Linked DNA regions of Schizosaccharomyces pombe. Changing the gene in region 1 together with any one later gene gives a genetic interaction. Each region holds a gene or a part of one and is shown in the gene's direction. Other genes may lie near its edges.

Region 1 (3,724 bases):
CGGGAGCATTTAAGAACTCAATAATAGCAATCGTCCCAGCAGGGGGGATTAAAATTCTACCAAGCTCACCGAATGGCGAAAAAAGTGAAGTAAGCTCCTCAGCCGAGGTACCGTATGGAAAATTTTTGACTAGTAAAACGTTGTCCGATCGTGCTGCGTTCTTAAACGCATCCAAATCAACACCATGCTCCTCAAAGAAATTTTTTGTCTCTTGAATAACATGAGTCTCAGTAAGAGCTTGCTTCACAGCAGAATCAGATGAGGTGGGATCGAGGATATCAGTCTTTTTAACGCCAAGGCGCGATGCTAGCGATGTCACGACTGCATCAGCATTCATATACAATGAGTTCCAGCTAAAGGTACTAGAAGCAGCAGTATTCTTACGTTTGAGTTCTCTTTGCTTTTTCAAAGGAAGCTTGCTTAATGCGTAATCGTCTAGAAGGATACTAGAACGCGCTTTTGCAGGTAAAACGTGTAAAAGCCGACCTTGAAAGGGTTTTGCGTCTAATTCTAAATACGCACGCACCGCGTCGTCTGCATCATGGAAATCAATGTAAGCGAATCCTTTGGGGTTATTGGTCTTTTTATCAATAGGCATATGAACTTGTTCCAATTGACCGAAAGGACCAAAAAGTGATTTTAAATCGTCCTCCGCGCAACTATAGGTTAAATTTCTAAGGAATAATCTTTTTGTCTCAGAAATCAGCTGAATATTTCTTTCTTGCTCGGAAACATTATTTTCAGCCTTTTGCAGCATGGATGCATCCGCAATTTTATCATTCGTAACCCTTTCAAGATGCTCGTCATTATTTTCTTTGTCAAAGGACTTTAACTCATCACCAACAACACTAACTTCCTCTTCAGGTTGTTTTTCTTTGATTCTTGTTCTGTGGAGCCTGAGCCATTCGTCATCAGACAACGGTGCTTGAGCATCAGTACCTGAATTTTTGGCGGTATCACCTTCAGCAGCTTGCTCTGACTCTTCTTCATGAAGCTCCGAAGAAGATTTTTCCCTTCCGTCTATTACTACACCGGAGTCAAGTGTGCTGTCATGTTCAGTAGATTTAATTGAGTCACCTTCGTGTCGTTTTGCAGCAGGAAGATCCTGATATTCATCATCATCTTCATCAGCTGGAATAACAGGATTCGTAATTTCAGTATCAAAAACTTCTTCATTTTCCCAACTCCTTGAGTTAGAAATCGAGGAAGAGAGTTTTAAAAACTCTCGAGCCTTGGGATCAAGTGTGTCTAAAAACTTTCTCTTCAGGTTGGCATCTTTCTTCTTTTTAGCTTTCTCTTCTTCCAAATTTCTTAATTCTTCCTCCTTTTCTTTTTTTTGTAGTTTCAATTCAATATTTTTAGAAGCGTATTTACTGTAAGGTCGAAGCTTTTCGTTAGCCGATCGATAATCCAAAGCTCGATGAACTTCGATACGAGAAGTCTCAACGTAAGATTTGTTCAAATAACGAATCGCTTTATCAGCATCCTCTTCATTTTTGAATCCAATGAAAGCAAATCGTCTACTAACGCCTTCTTTTGTTTTGGCTACGCTAACGTCTGTGATTTCAGCATCCAACTGAGGTAAAGATTTTAAATATGTTGATAGCTTCTCCTTGTCATAGTAGCGGGGAATATTTTTTATAATTATACGCGACATGGCGCGCGTTCAAAGACAATTGCTAAATCTCTACAGTTTTGGAGTATGCAAAAGAGTAGAGAAAACCATACAGAAAAATTCGAACCTTAGTGCTTACGAACGACATACAACGAACTTCAGTATACATTCCTAAGATTATTAAAGCTTTTGCTAATTTGAGATATCGAGTCATAGTAGCTCGAAATTATGTATAGCGTAGATGCGCTACTTTTTTGCTGCAACTGACTAATATTCATTAACGTATTGTCGAACACTCTTATGTAATGTTAACAACGTATTCTAAGGTGATTGGTATTTTATTTCGGCTGAGTAAATTCCTTTGTAAACAACCAAACAACTGAGGCAGAGTACTAATTAGAAAAAAATGTCTCAGTCACCTATAGACTATAATGAAAGTTTAAGGCCAGATGATATGCTCGATAATGAATTGAATTACGAGTTGGCTAACGAAGTTTCAGCCGGTGATGAGGAGCCTTACGACGATGACATTTGGGAATCAGAAGACCTAGAGCCCGTAGGCCATGATATACAGCCGATGGATTCTGTTTCTGACTTTCATGTCAAGGATTTTTCAGAGAAAAAGTATTCTCCTTATACAGATGAAATTGCCTCAGCACAACTGACTGGGCCATCAGAATCAGCATTTGGCAGTGCTAGTTCCTTGGGAACCGTGGAGTCTCCGGTGACTATGCAGTCTGCTACACTTTTATGGGATCCTAGTGTTAAGGAAGTCGATGATATTTTGCACAATGAAGATTTCTATGATGGCCGCGATTTGAATATTTTTACTTTGCGTGGATTTGTAAATATTTTGACTTTAATTCTTCTGAGTTGTGGATTGTTAATGCTTTTCATCGGGTATCCTATTTTATCAGCTGTTGAAGTAGAAAAGCAAAGGAAGAAAAACTGAGTATTTTTGATTTCATTTACTTTCAATAAGAACTTGTTGAAGGATTTTTCTCGTATCTATTTTCTCATTCCTTTGATGATTTCTTCTTTCTATTGCATTTCCATTTTTTTGAGCTTCTTATATCCTTGTGGTAGTACCACGAATTCTTGGACTTTCTTTTATTCACTACTTTCTCTTCCGTATGCTCTTTTTGCATTAGTATTACAGATTCTAATATTTCGTCTAACCGACTGCCTTCAACTAGTTGTGCTTGACCTTTTGCCTATTTCTTTGATAATGTCTATTATTTTTCTTACACATCATTCTTTTCCAGTTCCTCGCATCTTCCTCAAGCCCTTCTTATTTCGTTAAAGTTCAATCTCTAAATCTTTCATTTATTGGATTTATTCATCGTTTACTGCATCATAAATAATATTTGGTTTCTATTTCGCAAATACGAGTCATTTAACTAATGACCTATCATGGTTAGACTAACTCAAATTATAGGTAATGAATCAGTTAGTAAATATGCCTTCAGTACATCGGCTACGTGTGCCCATTCAAGCATTCTTTAAAAAAAAAAGAGCATTGTGTGTCTATATGCTTGGATGAGTAAGCTCCGTTCTCAGCACTTATATCATGAATAAAGGACTTATGCTATTCTGCTTTTGTCTTACACTTTCCACGTAGTCCGTAAAGTGTTAATTGTATTAAAAGTATGTAGCAAGGTTACACGGTTTCCGTTTCATTTGTGTATGAAAACAATAGACGAGGAGTGGTTGAAGTAAATGGCATCTTTAATTTTTTGTAACATTAATTACTTCTTGCATTTTAACGATTCGGAAAGCCGAAATATATTATTTTGTTCATGATGAACTAAAAGTCAGCTTTCAACAATGCCAGTACATATTTTATAAAAATAAAGCAGCGCTTGAATAGATCAAAAAAATTTTTACACCCGGCTTGTTAAAACGTCTGACTATTCAGCCGTATAATTGACATTTACATTTCTTTTTTCAGCATTTTCCATGCTGCTGCCTTCATCGTGGTTGAGTGCGTTATTTTTTTAAATATTCTCATTGGGATTCTCTATTTGGTAATATCAAACGGACAATAATCCACTAAGTATTATTCGAATGCGTAAAACATTTGCTAAAATGTTTACACGTATTTACATT
Region 2 (5,083 bases), 680 kb from region 1:
TTAAATACCATAAATATTACCATTATTATCTTTTAACTTTATTCTTTCTAGGCTGGTACTTATAACCAGGGTACATTTTCTGATGTTGTGCTTTATAAAACTCAGACATCTTAAAATATCGCATACGTACTTCCTTTGATTCGTTTCTCCACATCTCTCCAACCAGCTTGGAAACTTGTGAATTATTGATGGAAGGGTTAGACTTTAATAATGTAGCATGTTTTTCCTTCCTGTATAATATAAAAGCATTAGGGGGTCTCGGAGTACGTTCAGTAGACGTAGTGTCTTTCCGTAAACTCTTCAAAATATAGCCGGGAACTTTACATTGATCCAATGTGAAGGATATTGGTTGAGGTCTTGGCAGTTGTGCAGAATTCCCATCCAACAGGTAGCTTTGTGAGTTAGGAATGAGTATAGGAGTAAAGCCATCAGGAACAAAGTAAGCAGCACCTTTGCCAGTTTCAATTGAATGAAGAGCATCCTTTGTAAGGTATCTTTTAAAACACCAGTCTGGATCTAAAAAGTCGTAGGAAATAGGGGAACCCGCTGATAATTCTTGGTGTGAGTCCATTGTAGTTGTGAGTGCAAGGTAGGTGTAGAGTGTGGAGGGTATTTAACTACTTACAGAACAAAGAAACCCAAAAACAAAGGAACAAAATACACTAAAACACAATAATTTAATCTAAAGCACAATACATACTAATAATGTCAGCAGAAGACCTTTTTACAATTCAAATCCTATGTGATCAAATTGAGTTAAAACTTGCATCCATTGTAATAAATTCTAACATCAAATTACAACTTAAACGTAAAAAAAAGACACAACAATTATAAACTACATATAAGCAGGGTTCAGTAAATTGGGAAGGCGTTTCTGGCTATTAGGTTGTATGGCTATTAAATTAAAGGTTGTATGCTATACAAATGCATATGCATATGCATACAGAAAAATACTACCTCTTCCAATATTTTTCCTTCAACTACTCTCTCTTCTTTTCCTACCCTTCTTCTCACTCTCTTTTCCTTTCACGGCTAACCCACTATTTTCTCTCCTTTCTCTTTCTTTGTTCCTACCCAAACAAAGAAATAGTTACCATAGCTACTACAACAAAGCAAGCACTCATCCCACTTAATGTGGGGTCCCCTAAAGAATTCCCGTCTAATGAGAATTAGGAACGTTTCATTGTCAAGTTCGTTATTAAGTTATTTAAGAAAATATAATACTGATTAAAAATATATCGGTATAACAAATACAAAAATTAAACAGTCGCAATAAAACATGTTGACAAACCTGTAGTCATAGAATAAACATAATGTTATTATATTAACAGTAGGCTCTAAGGATTTATTATTGTTTTTACATATTCGTTCATGACAAAAAAAGTATTACAAACAACTTGCAATAGAATAATCCTACTTATTTGTTCTTTTCATTCACCTAATCCTCTCCCCCATTTGGAAAGGGTATGGCATTTTACTCGAATAACGCAACCAACTTTCTGTCTCCTTATTTTGCTATCCCCCACTTAGAAAGGGTATGACACTTTTCCTTAAATAACACAATCAACTCTTTCTCCTTATACCCTTCTTCCCCTTACCGCCTTCCTACTCACCTCAGTCTTTACCCCCACGTATCTCTACCTCCCACTTGGAAAGGGTATGACACTTACCTCGAATACCACAGTCAACTCTTCCTTCCTTTTCAACCCTCCCTCACTATACTTCATCCCACTTAAAAAGGGTATGGCAGAAACGTTATACAACGCAATTTGTATTTTATTCTTTTCCTTTACCTTCCTATCTTAAACTCATTTTCATCCCCCACACTCAACCTCCCAATTCCAAACTTTTAGCTTCGTTACATCTCCGTAATTTGAACTACTCATACCTCCTTAATCCTCTTTATCTCTTCCTCTACCGTCCTCTCCTTACCCTTTCCTCGTTTACATCCTCTATACTCGCTATACTACTCAAACCAACCACCCACTACCAATTCCTTACAAACAAAGAATTCACCCTTCTTTCCTCTATCATTCTTTGCTTGCTCAAGTGATTTTATATATTTTCGCGTTTACCGCGCTTCTTTTGTTATTTTTACTCTTTCTATTCTCTCACTCTATTTACTTCTCTTGCTCCCGCCCATCACTCAACTCCTTCAATGCTGTCGGCTCCCTCCTCCTCTACCACTCCCGCTTCCCCACCAACATCGCCTCCAAATACCACTTCCTCTGATGATTTCGCAGTTCTCAAAGAACCAAAAGTCGAAGCGATCCTCAATTCGGAACTTGGTCTAGCAATCCTAAATGATCGCATTAAAGACTACCTCCTCACTTGCAAAGAACTCGCCGGATTCTTTAAAAAGCGTTCCATTCTCGAAGAAGAAAGTGGAAAAAATTTACAAAAACTTGCTAAATCCTACCTAGAGACGTTTCAATCCAAACACCACTCTCCCCAATCTTTTTCCGCCTCTGTCATTACGAGTATGGAAATTCATGAACAACTTGCCAATCACAGTTTAACCCTTCAAAAAACTCTTTCTGCATTTTCCGATCAAGTCATCGAATTTCACAAAAACGCAGAACGCAAACGAAAATCCATCAAGGAATATGCGAAAAAACAAGAAAACGCATATTTAGAAGCCGTTATGCAAATGGATAAATCCAAATCTCGCTTTAAGGGTGCCGAAACCGAGTACAACCGCGCTCTCGACAACAAAAACACTGGAGACTCCCAGAAGAAGGTTGGTTTTTTTAAACCAAAATCTAATGCTCAGCTCACCAAACTCGAAGATGAAGCTCGCCTTAAGGCCGAAAATGCAGAATCAGATATGCACAGTAAGATTGAAAACGCTCAAAACGTTCAAAAACAACTTTTGTGTATTCACCGACCAAACTACATAAAGCAATTCTTTTCCCTTCAACGCGAAATTGAAAGCTCACTCATTGCAAACTATCTACGGTACACAAAGCTCTGCGAGTCAAACACCCTGCTCAACGGTCTCACAATCCGTCCACAAAAGCCCACTCCTACCAACTGTGGTTTACAACATGCTTTGGATAATATAAATGCAAATACCGATTTTGTTCAATACGTCCTTCACGCCTCCATCAAGCATGAAGATAACAAAAATCCAACCGACGCTTCTAAAACAAAAATCATTCAACCTCCAAGCTCTTACGGAACTGGTTCCTCTGCCGGAAAAACCAATCCACCCGTCAACCCCACCATCAAGGTTACTGCTGCTATTCCCTCTCCCCTACAAAACACTAATCCTGCTCCATCCACTTTTCCCAACCCTTCTGTGGCTTCCCCTGCCTTCCCAAACTCATCTACTTCCAATCCCTCTACTGCTCCCGCTTCAGCCTCTCCTTTGGCTTCTACCCTAAAACCTAGTACCGCCAATGACACAAACGGTTCTTCTTCATCCTCTTCTTCCAATCCTCGTACCTCTTCTCCACTCGCTTCTAATGCAGAAAACAAGCCCCCTGTTGCCCAACAATCACCTCCCGTACTACTTCCTACTTTACCTCCCATCCAGACGACAACGATTCAAACGTCTCGAGAAGTCGCACCACCGCCTTCTAGCATCAACTCAAACCGTGCTGCATCTCCCTTCCGACCAACTTCTGTCTCCCCTCAACCTTCCTCTCCTACGAAATCGTTACTCTTTGGTGCTCGATTAGACGCAATCATTCTACGAGAACATTCCAACATTCCAAACATCGTAATGCAATGCACTTCCCAAGTCGAAAATTTTGGTCTCAACCTCCAGGGCATCTACCGTGTTCCCAGCTCTTCCGCCCGTGTCAACATGTTACGTTCTCAATTTGAGAATAATCCTCTCTTACAATTACATACACCTGAGGACTATGAAAACGACGTTCATGCAGTCGCTGATCTACTAAAAATCTTTTTCCGTGAACTACGTGAACCGTTAATTCCCGACAATCATCAAAGAGACTTTATCGACGCAGGTAACGTTGAAGACGAATCCAGAAGAAGAGATGCCGTCCATCGTGCGATCAACGATCTTCCCGATGCCAACTACTCTACCATTCGTCATTTAACCATACATCTTGCTAAAATTAAAGAAAACAGCGATGTAAACAAAATGTCGACAAACAATTTGGCCATTATTTGGGGACCTACTATCATTAAGCAAGCTACTATCCCAGAAATTAGCAGTTTCTCTAGAACTATCGAAATTCTTATCGACTATTGTTTCACAATTTTTGACTACGATTAAAAGATCATTTTCTGTATTATTTACTGCTTACCATCTTTTTTTTCTCTTTTTATATTTTTTTCCTTTGCGTCAATAAAGCACACTTGACACTATTCTCTCTTTCTTGGATTTTGTATGCTTCCACCTCTTTCCCCTTTTTATCCCTTTCCTTACCTTGTTTTTATCCTAAACTTTTGTTTGTCTACAAATTCATTCTTTTCTTTACTGTCAATTCCGTTCACAATTTTAATCCATAGTTTAGACAACCTTCATAACGTAATAATGGAAATTATCTACGATTTTATAAACCAAATGAATTCCTTTTATTTTTTTTTCTTCTATATAGACCTTCAAATACTCTATATTTTTGTAAACGATAGATTTATATTTTTTTTTACATTTTTCCTGTACTATTCGACGGTCCACGAACTGAACGTATCCCTAACACCAAAATTTTAAAACATGCAATTATGAGCTACACGACAACAGACGCTGATGCTTTGGATGATCAACTTGATTATCAGGTAGATTTAGTTTCAGAAATTTCAGTTTCGGATGAAGAATCTGCACAACCTACTACAATAACTGAAAATTTTACTGCTTCTCAAAACAACGATTCAGCGAAACGTGAAAAAAGAAAAAAACAACGCCAAAAACAAAAGGAAAGGAAAAGAGCTAAATTGTTAGAACTACAAGACACAAACGCTTCAATCATCCAGAGTCCAGACACGCTGTCCGATTTGTTAAATAATTACATAAAAAGCATTTATAGTGATCTTACCGATGTAGAATTGTCAGATAAAGTGATTAAAGGTATAATTGCTTATTATTCTTTTTTTTTTTACTTCACTTTACTAA

The links.
Region 2: mutations in sbg1 (region 1) and rga7 are lethal when combined (synthetic lethality), as found in Schizosaccharomyces pombe (one study listed by BioGRID).

Annotation. Positions count from the first base shown.
Region 1 is NC_003423.3:1,434,257-1,437,980, forward strand, and holds sbg1 (actinomyosin ring linker protein Sbg1), read left to right. Parts: upstream 1-1,980; 5' UTR 1,981-2,021; coding exon 2,022-2,567; 3' UTR 2,568-3,219; downstream 3,220-3,724. Other genes in the region: RNA-binding protein Mrd1, read right to left, coding at 1-1,657.
Region 2 is NC_003423.3:2,109,970-2,115,052, reverse strand, and holds rga7 (Rho-type GTPase-activating protein Rga7), read left to right. Parts: upstream 1-1,977; 5' UTR 1,978-2,158; coding exon 2,159-4,246; 3' UTR 4,247-4,568; downstream 4,569-5,083. Other genes in the region: mat1-Mc (M-specific transcription factor Mc), read right to left, coding at 26-571; mat1-Mi (M-specific transcription factor Mi), read left to right, coding at 706-834; cms1 (U3-containing 90S preribosome complex subunit), read left to right, coding at 4,696-5,038.